Notamacropus eugenii: one gene and its partner. The main gene of each other region encodes a partner of the protein of the gene in region 2 in a complex. Links are inferred from orthologs where the notes say so. Each region holds a gene or a part of one and is shown on either strand. Other genes may lie near its edges.

Evidence for each region.
Region 1: EIF3I (region 2) and EIF3L share a complex: the UniProt entries of both Homo sapiens proteins name them as parts of the eukaryotic translation initiation factor 3 (eIF-3) complex. The link is inferred for Notamacropus eugenii from reciprocal best matches to the Homo sapiens genes EIF3I and EIF3L.

Annotation. Positions count from the first base shown.
Region 1 is NC_092874.1:295,367,862-295,376,362, reverse strand, and holds the start of EIF3L (eukaryotic translation initiation factor 3 subunit L), read right to left. Parts: upstream 3,316-8,501; 5' UTR 3,234-3,315; coding exon 3,201-3,233; intron 2,501-3,200; coding exon 2,452-2,500; intron 1,410-2,451; coding exon 1,199-1,409; intron 1-1,198. Other genes in the region: uncharacterized protein, read left to right, coding at 5,912-7,585. UniProt on the Homo sapiens protein: Component of the eukaryotic translation initiation factor 3 (eIF-3) complex, which is required for several steps in the initiation of protein synthesis.
Region 2 is NC_092876.1:77,630,125-77,638,436, forward strand, and holds the start of EIF3I (eukaryotic translation initiation factor 3 subunit I), read right to left. Parts: upstream 3,502-8,312; 5' UTR 3,413-3,501; coding exon 3,410-3,412; intron 3,277-3,409; coding exon 3,184-3,276; intron 1,962-3,183; coding exon 1,874-1,961; intron 1,672-1,873; coding exon 1,606-1,671; intron 676-1,605; coding exon 526-675; intron 422-525; coding exon 291-421; intron 160-290; coding exon 49-159; intron 1-48. Other genes in the region: TMEM234 (transmembrane protein 234), read left to right, coding at 3,555-3,570, 3,882-4,033, 4,212-4,278, 5,490-5,554, 5,828-5,920, 6,191-6,418; DCDC2B (doublecortin domain-containing protein 2B), read right to left, coding at 7,181-7,231, 7,675-7,778. UniProt on the Homo sapiens protein: Component of the eukaryotic translation initiation factor 3 (eIF-3) complex, which is required for several steps in the initiation of protein synthesis.

The DNA of each region.
Region 1 (8,501 bases), on a different chromosome or scaffold from region 2:
TCAGAAACTTTCCATTAATATCCCAGCATCCCTTCTAAGAGAGATCTAAGTAGGCAGTTCTTCTAGTTTAACGAAACCACCTCTGCCCCAGGGATGTCCACTTGTTTTCATGAAACAAGACAAAACTCCCAATAAAACAGGAGCACCAAGTCCTGTCTTAGGGCTTTTCACTTACAGAAAAGTGACTTTAAAGTCTAGGCACCTCTGCCAAAATTGCTTCCTCAAATCATCCAGTGGGGTCACAGATGAAGCAGGAGAGTCCAAAGACATCTCTGCTTGGCCACCACTCCAATCTTAGGTCCAGGTAATAGGAACCCTTAGGAAACTTGGGTGCAAATGTAACCAGGTCTTTAAGGCTGAACCAAACCAAGGGCTTCAAGTTAAGCTTTGTCTCCTTGGCTTAATAATTATTTTCAGGTGGGACCAAGGATTATGAACCAGGACATTGTCAATGCTATTTCTTAAATATTTCTCAAAAGAAAAAAAGGAAATTTTGTGGCCCATCTGCTGCCCCTGTTCATCACCTGCTTCTCCTAGAAACAATTCTCTGCTGGTCCTGAGTTTTCTTGGCCTCCCTACCCTCCTTCAGCCTTCAGGGTCACCCGGCTACTAAGTGTCTGAGGCCAGATTTGAATTCAGGAAGATGTGTCTTCCTGCCTCTAGGCCCGGCGCTCTATCCACTAGGGCACTACCTAGTTGTTTATGTATCTCTGTGGACACACATGTGGTCTCCCCGTTAGGATGTTAACTCCTTGAAAGAACGGAAGTTTCCACTTTTGTACCTGTATGCTGAGTGCCTAGTAGTGCCCGGCACATAGTTGGTGCTTAATAAATGCTGACTGACACCTCCACAGCACCACACACTTTAGTACTTATTCTAAGAATAACAGCTAGTCTCCAGCTAGAATTTAGAGCTATTTAGAGATCATGTAGCTGGACTCTTGTAAGGTCCAGAGTGGTCAAAGGAGCCACACCCAGCACTTTTAACTTATGGAGACAAAGCCAAATGGACAGGAAAGCTTGGGAAGCCACTGGACCAGGCCAACCAACCAACACAGTTTGAGAAGAAGCAAATCTATCAGTACAGTGAGGGTAGACCTGTCCAGCCCAGATCCCTCCCAGGGACATGGGAAGGAAAGTGCTCTATACAACCCAGAGTAGGAGAGAAGGAGGAGTCATCCCTGGCAACCGTCCACACCTGTTCTCGTAGATGTCCTGGATCTCATAGACTTTCTGATCGATGACGTCACTGGACACCCGGCTTGCCTGAAGCTCATAGACTTTCTGGTCAATGAGGTCGGAGACAGTTTTGTGGAAATATTGGATAAAGTTCTTGATCACTTCTGGAATCACTTGGTAGGTCTGCTGCTCATATTGCCGTTCATAGGCCAGGTCCTGTTTTGGGTCCCCTTCAGGTCAGAGATGAAAGAAAGAATGAGACCATTGATGGCTCTCAATCTCTGCAGAGCCAAAAAAGGGGCCTGGGAATCCCCAGGGCCTGGAGCAAGCAAAGGTTTGGAGTGAACCTGAATTATAAAACTGATGGAGGATGGGATCTGAACCCTCAAAAGGAAAAGACCATGTCTCTGAAAACAATCCAGCCCTGAACTTTCCCATGCTGGCCTGAAGTATATGGTCCACCCCAGTCTACCTAGATACTCAAAAATCCTTTTAACTACCCTTTCACTGTGGCTCTCCAACCCAGCCCAGACCACCTAACTCCTTTTGATGTCTGCACTTGGCCCATCCCACACTATTTACTACTCCTCGGTCCCATTCAGATCTTTTCACTGATCCTTCTTACCTATTTTTGTATATAAGTATCAGTCCCATCCCCATCAACTCACTTAGAATAAAGGCCACTTTTTTGGCATCACAAATAAATCTTGTTATTTTGACTGAAAGAAGGCTTGAGTGATTGAATTCTTTTCAGGGCTCCTTATATTTTAAGATTCCCAGCACCCCAAACCACAATAGTAACCGGCATTTATGTGACTTAGAAACAGCACCTTTCACAAAAGACTTTCACACAAACTCCACGATCATCCTAAACAAACAACATTAAGAGTTTTATAACTTCTGTCATCAAGTGAAATCATACAGAATGATGTGTAACTATTCCTCAATCAACGGACAAGGATTTATGAAGACATCTGGCTGCCTGGCAGTGGAATTACAAGTGCAAAAGAATTAAACACGATAGTCTCAACAAGCATCTATCTTCTCCAGCACCCCACCAGCTCCTTGGGGACAATGACTGAGTTTCCCCTAAACATCAGCCGCCCCTCAGCACCAGCGGAGCCTTCTGTCTGAAATGAAAACTGAGCAAACACTTTTTGGTGACCCTGGCTTCCTGGACACCCCCAAAGGAGGCCCACCTGAGGGTGACTCCTGGCTGGAGCTGGTGCTACTGGGCTGGGCACCAGCCCAGTGCGGGCCGGCGCGTCTTACCTGTGTGCATGTCATAGTCGCCTGGGTAAGCGTAGGGATCGTAGGCAGCCTGGAGGAGGAGAAAGAAAGACCACCTCATTCGTTCGCAGCCTGAAGGCTACACAGCCTTTCCCTGGGTGGGTGCACTGAGCCAGCCCCGGTGACAGGGCCGGGGGCTCTTTCCATTTCAGGGACAGAAGCCCAGCTCTGGGACCGGGGGAGGCGGGAAGCAGCGTGGATGGAGGGGGAGCCGAGAGGGGACGGCCGTAGGGAAAGGGGGGAGACGCTGGCCAAGCAGCAGGAGGGGAGGGCTCGAGAGGAAGCCAGACCCCCGTCCTCAGGGAGCTTCCCAGGCGCTGTTGGGGAGGGGGCCTCCTCTGCCTTCCGGGGCTGCTCAGTCCCCTTCTCTTGAGATTGCGCCCCCCTCCCCGATGCCGTCTCCCCGGGGAGATGGGAGATCCCCGAGGGCAGGGGCCGCTTGGGCCTTTCTCGTTCCCCCCTGCAATGCCTGGCACGTGCCCATTTCTAGAGGCGGGGGAGGGGGCAGCTGGGAGAAGGATCAGGGCGTTCTCTTTTATTTGAAGGAAGAAGGAGAACAGACTAAACGGAGAGAAGTGGAAAGGGAAGAAGAGAAAGGAGGGTGGGGGAAGGGAGATGGAAGTTGGGGGGCGAAGGGAAGAAGGGAGAAGAGTGGGGGAGGGCCCCGCACCTCACCGCACGCCCACCCCCTGGACCCCTGAAGGGACCCAGGGAGCAGGGACCCCCATTACCTCATTGTCATAATCCTCAGCCGGGTAGGACATGGCGGCGGCTCAGTCTGGGCTCAGAGAAGGAGCGGGCAATCGTGTGGGGAGCGCCTGCCGCCCGAGCCTGCGCAATATTCCCGGAAGCGGAACCTAAGGAAGCACACTTCCGGGAGAGTCCGCCATGATGAGAGTGGCGGAAGTGACTCGATTTTCAACATGCTTTTCCCCTCCAGCTTCCCAGGTGAGAGCCTGAGATACGGTAATGTTGCTTTATTGCTTTTTGTGTCAGCAGAGGATAACAAACCAATAGTTATCCAATGCAAGAAAACCCTAGTCTGACACACCCAATATGGAGGGCCCTCCTCCAGGCCGACCACCCCGTTCCAGCGTATTAGTAAACGCAGACGGAGGTCTCCGAAAAAGCGTGTTTAGGTGTTTAAGCTGCGCCTGCTTCTATCACAGGGGATCCAGACCCAAATAAGGGATATGAATTGAGCGCTTGGAAGCATTTCATGGCTCTTGTTTATCCCCTTCAATGAACAGAATGGAGAGATGAGTTTCTAGCCCTTCCCTTGGAGGCTATAGAGATTGGAACAGGCGATAGACACGGACAGCCCGGACGCAGGCGGAGGTGGAGCGTCGGAGGGGTGGGGCGGGACAGAAAAGCGTTGATGACGCATGCGTTCTACGCTAGGATCTGCGCAGAATCCCCGAGTTCTAACAGCGTTTCCCAGCCTGTGAGGAAAGAGGGCCTTATTCCTCAGGACACTAGTCTGAGAGACATGGACCAAGATGCTTTGGGAAGAGGGCGTCTGGTTCCTTGGGAGTCTGGCTTGAAGTACATGTCCCATAGTGCTCCTGGGCCAGGGAGGGCTATGCCTTACAAAGTGATGGGGAACCTGCTTTAGTAGGGTTCCCCCCCATATATCCCATAATGCTTCAGGGCTAGGGAAGACGAGGCTGGCAACATATCCCATGATGCTTAAGCGTGGAGCGGGGGAGGGGAGAGCTTGTGTCCAAACAACATATCCCATGATGCTTTGAGACATCCTTATTTGGGCGGGGAGGCACCAGGTTTAAAAAGTCCCGGGAGCCCCCGCCCACATCCCCTCCCCCCATTTCCGGGACTTTGCCCAGGGGACCTTATTGTTTCCATCTGAGTCAGAGGCTTCTTCTCTGCTCGTGCAGTTTGTCCCTCTTGGACCTGAGTTCGAATTCTGCACCTTGGCCGGTGTCTCGCTCTGTGACTCCTGGGTAAGATGCTTCCCTCCGGGCCTCAGTTTCCCTTTCTGTGACATAAGTGAGGAGGACGCCGAGGTCTCTTCCAGCTCCACACCGACCCCCTGAATCGCTTCCGCTCTCCGGGCCTGGACTAGGCAGCCTCTGAGAGTGACCCTGCATCTTCTCCCTGCAGCCCACCCCGGCGCCAGCTGTTGGACACGTGCTCCCTGAGGGCAGGAGCTGCCTGTTTGTTTTATATTATTTTACGAGTTATATAAACAGTATTATAAATGTAGAGCATATAAATAACATGACATGGCACACAGTGGGCGTCTACTAAATGCTCATGGCTTAGCCCCGGTACTCCCGCTCCCCTTCGCCTTACAGTCTGCCCCTTCCCCCCTCCCACGTGCTCCAGAAGGCCCTTGTCCTGGCTTTTTAGAGCCGAAGGGTGGGCTTCCTTTCGGACCGGCCCTTCACCTCTGGCTTCATCAGCCTGACCTCCCGGCTCAACCTCTTTTCATTTAGATTGAGGTTGGTTAAAAACTTTTTAAGGAGCTCACCCCACAAGAAACTCTGAATTATCCTTCTTGGGTCCCCTAGTCCAGCGCTGGTGATGTACATATTAAAAAAAATGCAAAATGTTGGGGCTCTCAGCCGTTGTGGCCTCCCTCTGGCCAACTAAGTGTTTTCCCTTTCATTTCCTCTCAGTTCTCAGCCTGTGACTCAGAAGCCCACCAGACTGGTCACCTCCAGGCGCCTGGTGCCCCTTGTAGGTAAGAGATCTTTTGATATCTGTCAGGGGGGTTTCAGGCTTAAGCTGCCTGTCAGACTAGATCCTCAAACAGGCTTAGAGCATTTCCTTTAGGAATTGGCTTATAAACCACTTTTCAAGTGCCTGTGGCTGTATCTTGGCTGTATCTGTAACCGCCTTTTACATGACATGTTGCAGCCACTAACACCCTGACAAGGATCTTTCTCCTTTCCTTTGGTCAGAGTCCTGCCCAGGGACCAGGGCTCCCAAGAAGTCTTTTGTCTTTGGGCAACAAGTTGAGTGTGTGGCCCCACTCTGCTCTCCTCTCCAGATATAGGGTATGGATGTGCCACCCAGAATAGCACACCTGTTGACTCTTGGTACCTGTGGTAGTTCCACAAATCCCGTGGTCAGCCTTCCTGGGTTCCCTTCTGGCCCGCTGAAAGGGATGAAATCAATGTCCTTTCCCCACACTGTATATTCCAGCTGATTTAACGCATGCAACCTTGTTCTGTGTTCATATAGAGAATGGTTGAGAGTTAATTTTGTTTGGACAGAACAGGGTAACCAGGTATCCTCGAGACAGGACATTATCCCAGCTGAGTATTAAACCTGGTTCCTGATGATCTGTAAAGGCTCCAGCCCAGAGAGCTGTGGATCAGGGTTCAGGAGGGATTGGTGAGGGCTGAGGGCTAGTTGCCCAACGTTCAGGTGAATTTGAGATGGACTGTTTGTTGGACAGGTAGGAGGAGCCTCCAGAATGGGGAATCTCATGACTAAGGATGAGAGAGGAGCCATTCCAAAGGAAGGAACTCCAGCATTTTATATGTACACCCACTACCAGCCTAAGTGCTGCAGGTTTCTGCTTGACTGGAGTAGGCTCACGAGAGGTCAGAAGTACTCTCTGTGGTTTCCACAAGAAGGATCATTTGACTTGAGTAAAATAATGCACCTGAAGGAGGTCCTAGAATCTCGTGGCTCTAAAGTCGGGCGAGGCCAGTGGAAAGCATTCATTGATTGGCAGACAGAAGCTTCTCGAAGGCACCAGGCTGCTCAGGAGCAGCATCATAGGGATTCCATTGAGAAACTGGAAGACAGGATTCGAGCTTTTGAGTCTTTGAATCACCCTCCACCAAAACAGGAGATGCAGGGGGATGGTCAGGGGCCCTTGAGTTCTCATGAAACTCCCCAACCTCCAGCTCCAGTCACTGCCCCTCCAGCGCCAGCTCAGACTCCAGCTGCTACCTCTCCAGTGCCAGCTCCAGCTGCTATCCCTGCAATGCCAGCTCAGGCTCCAGTTGCTACCCCTCCAGTGCCAGCTCAGGCTCCAGCTGCTACCCCTCCAGTGCCAGCTCAGGCTCCAGCTGCTACCCCTCCAGTGCCAGCTCAGGCTCCAGCTGTTACCTCTCCAGTGCCAGCTCAGGCTCCAGCTGCTTTTCCTACAGTGCCAGCTCAGGCTCCAGCTGCTACTCCTCCAGTGCCAGCTCAGGCTCCAGCTGTTACCCCTCCAGTGCCAGCTCAGGCTCCAGCTGTTACTCCTGCAGTGCCAGTTCATGCTCCAGCTGCTGCCCCTCCAGCGCCAGCTCAGGCTCCACCCACTGCCTCTTCCTTTCCTTTAACTCCCCCTCCTTCCTTTACCCCAACACCTTTTGTAACCTTAGATGCAGAAGATTCTTGGATCTATACTCGCAGGCATAGAGTAGTAGAGTACCCAGAGTGGAGAAGTAATTCAGGTGACTGTACTACTTTTAGGCATGAGGATTTGTATGACCTTGCTATCAAGCTCTCCGACATTGAGCAAGAACCAGTAGAGTTTAAGAATCAGCTGAGTTTTATTATTCATGTTTTGAAGCCCACCTGGGCAGATATGAATAGACTGTTGACAATTGTGCTGCCCACAAAGGTCAGACAGCGCCTCTTTGATATGGCTCTCTGGCCCATGGATGATCCTGGAGAAGGGCCGTACTTGGTTTGGCTCTGGCGGTCTTTACTGAATGCTATCCTGCTGGTCTGCCCCAGAAAATCTGATTGGGGGAAAATTATATCCTGTAAGCAAAAAATAAATGAGCAGCCACATGTGTATTTAAATCGCTTTACAAAAGTCTTTGAGGAGCATTCTGGCATTGAGGACCCAGACAGTGGTGCCACCCAGGGGATGGCCCTCGCTTTTGTTCAAGGCCTCCTTCCCCAAGTTCAAAAACAGCTGCGTACTTTTTGTGTGGGGTGGGAAGAAAAATGTGTCCATGAATTGGCACCTCTAGCTCACTACTACTGGCAGCTGGAGCAGGAGAGGAAGATGATTGTCTGGAGAGGCCCTAGGAAACGACGTCCTAAGAAGTCTTTTGACCCTTCTGCATGCTTTTACTGTAAACAGCTTGGTCATTGGATAAGAGAGTGCCCTTATCGGTTAAAACGCCAACACCAGCTTAGCTAACTGGCATATCCCTTCAGGATCGCCAGAGGGACAGTCACTCCTTAAGGCCCCGACTGGAGTGGGGCATCCAAGCCCATTCTCTGAGATATGACTCCTCATCAGGAGAATTGTTTTCTGTCTTCTTTTGTAATTTCACCTTCTGCCTTAAATGCCTAAACTCTGGGGAAGAACTTTCTGTTCCAAGATTTTAATAATGCCTAGTCCAAGGACTAGTGGTGAAGGTGCTCTTTGTAGCCCCTTGGTGCCTGGAGATAACAGATTTTGTACCTCTCCTAAGCAGAGGAACAAAGGATTAAAAAGCCTTGACTTGTCAACCCTTTCAGCCAGAATCTGTGAGACCTTGAAAGCAGAAACTGCTCTCTAGGCATGAGAGAGATGTGTTTCTTGCAGACTAAAAAAAAAAAAAAAAAAAGGAACACTTCTGGACTACCTTGAGGGGAAGGGTTTTGACCTGTTCCTGTGCTTCACCCTTACCTTGGAAACACTTGTTTTTGGCCTTAATTGTAGATTGTGGGTCTTTGTGTAATGAGGAGGGCCTTTTGAAATTGTTGATACCCCTTGCCTATGATCTGTGTCCTCAAAGGGATCCATAGGAAAGGGGGTTGTTGCTAGATCAGCAGCCTGGTATATAAGGGCCTATCTGGCATGTCTGGTACTCATCCCAGATGACTGACCCATTCTGGGCTTACCCTTGATCATATTTAATATAAAATTTTGGAATAATCTCTTTGTTCTCTCTGAAGCAAATTCAGAGAGTTCCTCTTCCTGTGTCAACAAAAGCCAGATAGGGCTGACTTGGCATTCCTTAAGAGACCTTTAACCTAAGATACTTTTTCTGAATAATGGGACATTTTCCATATCTTACTATTTTGTGGACATATACTATGTTATGGCATGTTAATGGTAAAGAAAACAC
Region 2 (8,312 bases):
GGACCCCTGATTTGGATCAGTCAGACCCGCTTTGAGCCTAGCACCCACCTTGGCAGTATTGTCCTTAGAAGCGGTGACGAACATTGTCATGTCTCGAGATGTCTGGATATCGTTGATCTGCCTTGAGTGCTCCTTAACATTCACCATCACTTCACCAGACTGGGAGAAGGCATGGTGGAAGGTACATCACTCCCCCTCTCACCACCAGGAGGCCAGAGCTGCTGGGAGGTGATCCCAGCCACTCTCCCGAGATCCTGATCCTTCCACACTCACCCCTCCCTGGACCTCACCTTAGCACTGTACTGGTTCAGTTCCCCATTTTCATGGCCAGCAATGATGCATTCCCCCAAGGGTCCCCACACGGCACTTGTGATCTTGGCATCAGCATTACAGGGGATCTTCATGTATGGTTCATTGCTATCTGTTTGGGGGGTAGTAAGTAGACAGATGGTGAAGACTGGCTCCAGGCTACAGTAGACCCCACCTCCACTCTGAGTCCCTGAATCCGCACCCATATGTCATTACCGATCTGGCTGGGGTCCCGGAGATCAAAGAAACTGACAAAGCACTGGTACCCCATCTGCTTGTCCGTGGAGAACATGATGATGTTGCCTCCAAAGTCAAATCCGCATGTACGGACAGCTGAGTTGGTCTTCAGCAGAGCCAGCTGCTTTCCTAGGAATAAGTACAGAATGGCTAACTGCTCCTCCCATTCCTCAGCCTCCAATAGGCCCCAACCCCATCTCTACCAAGCTTTACTGTTCCATTGGTGAAAATGACCCCTCAGAAGGTTGGGCTCAGGTCAGAGAACAAGACATTAAATAAGGCAGCATTGAATTCTGCACCCCACCCCCACTTCCCCAGCCTCAAGTCAAAGACGCTCTGATGTCACCAACTCCAAATCATGCATGACCAGCAATGCTTTCCAGACCCCTGACAAGTGACCATTTGTCCTGTGCTGAAGCCCTCCCAGTTTCCTAAGGCAGGCCGTTTTACATTAACAAGCTTATTCTTAAACTGAGGTAAAATCTGCTTCCTTCAAACTGGACAACAGATGTCCATCCCTGAATCCTGAGAACACACTAGGTAACTGCTTCACCCAGTCTGGGAGGGGAATGCCAGGAACAGGAAGCCTGAACTTTCTGACCAATCATCTTAGGAATAGGTTCAGCCTTGCAAAATGATCCACTAATCTATGAAGATATATCTCCAGAATAAGCATTGCCTTCTAAGCTGATGCTGGGAGCCACGGAAAAGGAGGTATCAAATCCATCAGCCTGGAGAAGGCAGCACTACGTGTGGGGAGGAGCAGGAAGCCAGAAGAACTGGGTTCTGGGCCCATCCCTGCTCCTAACCTTGTGACTTGGACCAAGTCACTCCCCCCTCTCTGGGCCTCAGTTTTCTCCTTCATGAAAGGACAGAAGTTGGACTACAAGATCCTCAAGTCCCTTTCCAATTCTGACATTGTCTGAGTCTACCTGATATCCAATACCCCATTAACACTAGTCAAGCCCATTCCCAAATGACCAACTCCACCCAGTGACCAGACCTGGGAGGCCAAGGCAGTAAATGAGGGGCCCTAACAGAAGTAGATCATCTGATTACCTGTCTCACAATCCCAGAGGCGGCAGCTGTTGTCGGCAGAGCCGGTAAGGACATGTTTGGTGTCCCCTGGAGAAGTTGTTAGGGAATGTTATCAAATTCATGTGTCACCGTTTCCGTTTGGCAGGGAGAAAGGGAGGCAGGAGAAGCTGTCTGAATCTCTTTAACCCCCCCCCCCCCCCCCCCCCGAGACAACACCACAGTCGGGCGTCTCTGTCTTTGACCAACAGAGAATACGCCAGCTCTTTAAGGCAGCAGCATTAGAGGATACAATCAGCATCCACACACCACACAGCTCCAGTGTGCCCCGTGTAGGTGCCCAGCCGTTCTCCGTTTACCGAGTACCAGACGTTGACAATCTAGCGAAGCAAAGACGTTAGTTAGTTTGCTGAAGAGGAACCAGGAAAAAACCTTCCCTTCCCCCCAGAGTCTGCCAGCAGCCTCTATCTTGCTGGCTCTCAGCCTTTGCCTCCCCTCGATAACTCCTGCCTCCCTACCAGGGAAACTCCCTAACCAAGCCCCTGTGAAAGAATATGTGACTGGGCCTTTAAGATCAAACTGTGTCCTGTAGCATGCCCCAAACAAATGATTTGAGAACAGATTTATGTCTTGAACGGGGTACCCCAGAAGTCTTAGTATACTTTGAAGCTTTAGTAGCCGCTAAATTACATGTTTTGTATATCAATAGCTATTCAGTTACATATGTATCTCCCTGGTCCTCCAAACCATTCACACATCTTCCCTCAAGGTAACTTGTAGCCAACTTCCTTTACCGGATATTGATTCTACCTCAGCAGGCGAATGTTCAATCTGACCCCCTAGTTTTCAGCACTGACTGACCCCTGACATAAAAGGCCCCATCTCTGCAGAGGCGCAGCAGCCTCCTCAGGTAGCAACCACACTAGCCCTGTCTCCCTCCTGAGTCAAGAGGAGGTTAAAAAACAAGCTGAACCAAGTCAGCCACCATCTACATCCAAGGATGAGAAATTCTCCCCAGGCGATGGGCCAGGGATGGGTGATGATGGTCGTAACTGTTTTGTGGGCAAACTGGAAGGTAGCAATGAGAAGGTTTGTATAGCAGGAAGAACCTCAAAATCAGGAGACCAGGGCTCTAGACCTGATGTGTAAAATGGGCAGGGGGTTAATCATGATAATGAAGGGTTGTAGAAGCTCCTTAGAGTTTACAAAATGCCTTCCACACTCGGCCTCATTCCAGCGTCACAACCAATCACCTGGTCAGATAAAGTGAGATTATGGCCCCCTTTTACAGAGGAGGACACAGTTTGGGTGACTTGCCCAGGGTCACAGAGTCATTAATAAAGCTCTGAGGCTGGAGTCGAACTTGGCAGCGCTCTATCCACTGGGCCATCGAGCTGCCTCTATGCCAACCACATGAAAACGAGCACTGCCTCAGTTTCCCCACTCCTCCAGTCTCCCATGCAGCCCCCTCCTAGCTGCTTCCCTCCCCGCTCTCCTCTAGGACCGCCCCAATCCCTCCCCCCTCTGCCCCTCCCCCTTCCCAGCGGAATTCCCCGTCCTCTCCAGCCTCCCCTCCCCCCGCTCCGGGCCGCGCATGCTCACGGGGTCCTTGGCGACGGTGAAGAGCAGGTCTCCCTCGCGGTTGTACTTGATCTGCGTGATGGATCGCTCGTGGCCCTGGAGCAGGATCGGCTTCTGGGGACGGCACCGGGCCGGGGGAAAGAGGAGGGGGGGGTCACTGTCAGGGCACGGGCTTGGGCGAGGGCACCGTGTTCTGCCCCCTTGGCCTCCCACCCCTCCTTGCTTCGCCCTCCCCAAGCGGACTCACCATCGCGGCGGCTGAAGCGACCGCACCGGCGCCACTGATCCGCGCAGCAGCGTGAGGGACTTACCGGAAGAGAGAGGGACTGAGCTTCCGGGTCACGGCGCCGGGCCGGCCCCGGAAGTGGAAGCCTTCCTTTTCCGGCGTTGTCATGGCGGCGACTCTGGGTGAGGAATTCCCAGCCCCTCCCCCCACCTGCGTTCCCAGCTCCGTTTCTTCCTCTGTAATAATAAGGACGGCGGGCGCCCCGCGCTTTCTTCAGGTGTTCCCCGGGAGCCCTCGGGGAACGCCTCCTTGGGAATGGTCATGGCCTCCGTCCTACAGACGGGGCCCCTGAGGCTGCTGCTGGCCCGGGGGACGCCGGTAGCCAGTGCCGGAAGCGCCCCCCGGCGCTCAGTTCCCCGCCCCGGGGAGGTGGGGGGAGGGCTCCGGGGGGCAGCCCCGCAGGGTGAGTGACGGGCTGGCCTCCCCCTCCCAGGGCAGGCATGTGCCCTGGTGCTGGTGGCCGTGCTGTGGGGCGGCTCCAACCCGCTGCTGAAGAGGGCCACGGGCGCCGTGGAGCCGGTGCGGGCGGGGAGCCGGCTGGAGCGGCTCCTGCGGGAGACGAAGGCCTTGTTTTCCAGCTCCCAGGTAGGGCCGCGTGCAGGGGTCCCCGAGATGGGGGTGCGGAGGCCGGGGTCGGGCATCCCGTCCTGAGCGGACCAAAGCGCTGAGGGACTGTCCCTTCCCTGGGCTGGCAGACAGCGCCTCGGATGGCTCCGTGCCGCCTGCTGCGCTGACCCCAGCCTTTCCCTCCTCTCCACCCCAGTATCTGGTGCCCTTTTGCCTCAACCAGTGTGGCTCCCTGATCTACTACCTCACCCTGGCATCAACAGGTAGGTGCGTCTCTGCTTTGGGGGCTGGTCGTCTGGGTGGGCTGCGGCCAGTAGGCATCCAGCCTGCCAGGGAGGTTCACGTAGCGATCTAATGCTTCCTTAGCAGCTATAACCGTGCTACGTTGTGGGACGGGGCTTCCCACCCTAGTAACCTTGGCACGTCCCAGGCATTGGGGGGGTGAGAGATGGATCCGGGCCTGAAGGAGACAATTCAGTCTTACCGAAGGGTACGTAACATTTTCCTGACACCCCTCCCCCACTTTGGACTTGGCATTCAGGGACCTGAGTTGGCATCCTATTTCTGCTACCGTGGTGACCTTGACCAAGACGCCTTACGTCTTCGGGCCTATTTTCTCATAGCCAAAGGGATAAAAAACCAATTGGACAGGAGGGGATGGGTTCATGGGTTGTACGGGATAGACAGGCATGGTTGCATCAGCCGAAGAGAATGCCCCCAAGGAACCACAGATCCGTTAAATATTTGGAGGGCAAGATGACACCACTAAAGAATTCTTTGCTTCTTGGACAGATCTCCTACTCTTCCATTTGACTTACATGCAAGCAAATAATGCTTCCCAGGCCTTCTTCACATTACCATCTACTCAGGTCCTTTTTGGACAACGTTTTGTTTATTCTTGTCATTTTCTTTATTCTGTTCTGTATTTTTTAGCGTCAACCAAAAGGCATAAATTACTCCTCCACCCCTAGAAGATTGAAGTATATTTCCTTACTTTTAAAAAAATCCCTTTCATTAATGTGATGTGGACACTCCTTTCAGGATTTAGGCTTTAGGAGTTACCTTTATGAGTTGCTGCATCCATTCCCCATGGTGATAGACATAGCTTGGTTGGTTTTCTACACAGCTTACTTTAAAGTCTTTCTAGTATCCTTTTGGGATGGGGCAAGTTTGGGGGGGGCAGGGTGTGAGGTCTGTTGTTACTATGTCTAGATCACTGAATTTGCCCTGCAGAATCTGAGTTCAGAGACTGTGAGCACCATATGACTTCATTGTTTAGTGTGAAAGGTCGTGAGTGCTGAAAACATTAGTATTCTTAAGAACTTGATCCCTCCCAAGAGTAAAAGAGAAATAAGGCTTGGATTAATAGCTGCACTCCTCCTGACTGGATTTTCTTCATTGTTGTATTTGTTTAACTGTCAAAGCTCTATACGTGTCTGTCTTTTAACAAGTATAATAGCTGGCATTTCTGTAGCTTTCCAAGGTTTGCAATGCACTTTACATACAGTAGCTCATCGGATCCTCACAACACCCTTTGAGGTAGGTACTGTCCTTATCTCAGTTTTATTGACAAGGAACCTTGTCAGTTTAAGGAGGTTTAAGTGACTCATCCAAATGACCTGTTGTGAGAAATGGGTGTCTGCGGTGGAATCCTAGCCTGAGTCTTCCTGACTTCAAGTCTATTACTTGGTTTTTCTAACCTAGATAAACACCCACACCCCTCCTATTAGACCAGATCTTTGTGAGGGCAGGGAATACCTTTCCTGCTTTAGAGTGGACCCCAGGGAATGTCATCAAACTGTTCCCCTCCAGATCTGTCCCTGGCTGTGCCCATCACTAACTCCCTGGCCCTTGTTGTCACCCTGGTTGTCGGGAAGTTCCTTGGGGAAGACATTGGTGGAAAATGTAAGTAAGACCACTCCTGGGGAGAAATCACTTGCCAGGCTCTTAGGTGCCCAAGCTGGGTGACTTCTGTGCATTTCAAAAACCTATGGTCTTTGGGGGGATGAGCATCTAGTCTCTGGTGTGTCTTTTAGCACACTTGCCTCTTCTTTCCCTACAGTCAGGGTAGGGAACCTTGGAGTATGAGAAGACCTTTTCCTTTCTGAGCCACCACTTAGCCTTGTCTGGCACATAGTAAGTGCTTACTATTGATTGGCTGATTGATTGACCCAGGTCCTGCCCTGGGAATGGTGCTCACCGTCTCTGGAATCATGCTCTGCATTGCAAGTTCAGTGGGCAAGACAGAATAACGACAGGATCCTGTGGCCAGCCCTACCCAGAGACGACGGAGCAGTGGAGCAGGGAACCCTGGGCTGGGGGAATCCTGAGCCACCTACGCTTGAGCTTTCCTTGAGAAGGCTGTCTTTGACTTCCCCTTGGCAGTGGCCTCTTCCTCTATGATTCAGTGAGGCCTCATGGGGAGGAGCGGGGCTCAAAGACTTCACCACTTTGAACCTGAAGTTTCATGCCTTGGAAACTCCCTCCCCTTTTGTTGTGTGACCCAACCTCTCTCATGACCTTGGCCTCCAGCCAGTATTGTGGTTTGTGCAGAGCACCCTGGATGTCAGGTGCAGAGTACCCGTCAAGCTCAAACTTAGGGGCCTTCTGAGCCTTGGAGCTGATGTGGGCTGGGGCTGGTGGTGAGTCAGAGCCCACATGTGCTACAGTCAGTTAGACACCTTCCTTCCTCTCCCCGTCCGAGGGCCCCTGGTCCCCTAGGTTGAGAGGCTAGCTTCATAACCAGCTTTTGCTGCTCTTTTTCCTGGTCCAGACTTTAGAGTGGGATATGGTCTGGAGACATGGGTAAGAGACAAAGCTCAGATAACCCAGAAGCCAAGAAAACATTCTTCTTTATTAGGCCAAAGTGTGTATGCCCCTGTGTCCTTCCTACCCTACCTGGTATCAGACCCAACTGGGTGGTGGAAGGTAACCCTTCTCTTCCCCTGTCTAGGCAGGCTACTTGCAGGTTTGTGGGCCAGGCAAACTAGAAACGTCAGTGGGGGATCACAGCAGAAGAGGGTGGGTCGGTTCAATAAAAGCCTGTGCCATGGCTACTGATGGAATGCTGGCTGGGGGCTGGGAAAAGGGAGGGAGGGAAGGAGGTTGTGCAGGGCTTCTTGGTTTTCCAGAATGGCATCCAAGTTTAGTTCCATACCACCTACCCTAGGCAGCATTTTCCAAGAAATAGGCTTCTTCAACCATTTCTGCAGCCCTCTGGAAGAGAAAGAACAATCAGCTAGAAGGGAGCCAACTTAGATCCCAGAGCAGAGACCCCTTAACCTAGCAGAAGTGCAAAGGGCCCCTGGAGACTATCTGGTTCACGAATCCCCTGTACAGATGAAGGGACTGATTCACTGTGAAAGATGATAGCTGTTCAAGGTAACTGGGCCCAGTAGACAGTCAGGGTGCTCCCCTGGAACCCTTGTAATGGCCTCTAGCAGAATGGATCCCTAGTGGTGAAATTATGGGAGGATACCCATAGTCTCACCAGAGGAGCACCAAAGGGAACTCGCAAGCCATTGGAGTGTGGTGGTAGAGCCAGGATTAGAACCCAGATCTTCTGATGCCTACTTCTCAGCACTTTGCTTCACCTTGGATGGATTGTGGGACTCTACACACTCTTCAGCTATTCTCTTCTAAGGCCACAGACCCCATACCTGATCCAAGGGGACCTCTGTCAAGGTAGTCCCATTCTCTTCTACTTCCTGGGCACCTGCCAGTTCCCTCCTGGCATGGGGTGCACCATACACACTCCTTTCTCCTGTGAGGAAGGGGGTACATGTTGATGCTGTATTGAGATCATACAGAAGATAGAAAAGCATCTGTGGCCAGGATTCCCTCTCCTTGTCTCCAAGCCACTGGCTTCCCCTCCTTACCTCTGACCCACAGTCAAGGACTCTTTCCTTTTTCTCTAAGTTAGTCTCCTTCCCCATACTGACTGCTTTCCTCAGTCATGTTTTTGGCCACCAAAGAGTTTCATGGGATTAAGAAACAAGACGAGGTTTCTAAGTCACTGGTCATATCCATCACCATTTGGCATCTTCTGCCCCACTCAGCATTAGAAGCAGCAGCTGTGATACCTCATATTTACATCTTGGTTTACAAAGCACATTTTCTTACCACCCCTCAAGGAGAATAATTGCAGAGTAGCTTCAAAAATGGAACCTGAGCCTCAGAGAAGTTCAGCACTTTCCCCACTGGAACACAGCTTGGTGCCAGCTGTTCTTTGCCAGCCCATGCTGGAGATTAGACCACACTGGGCCTAGGGCCCAGACACAAACCACTTCCCTGCAGA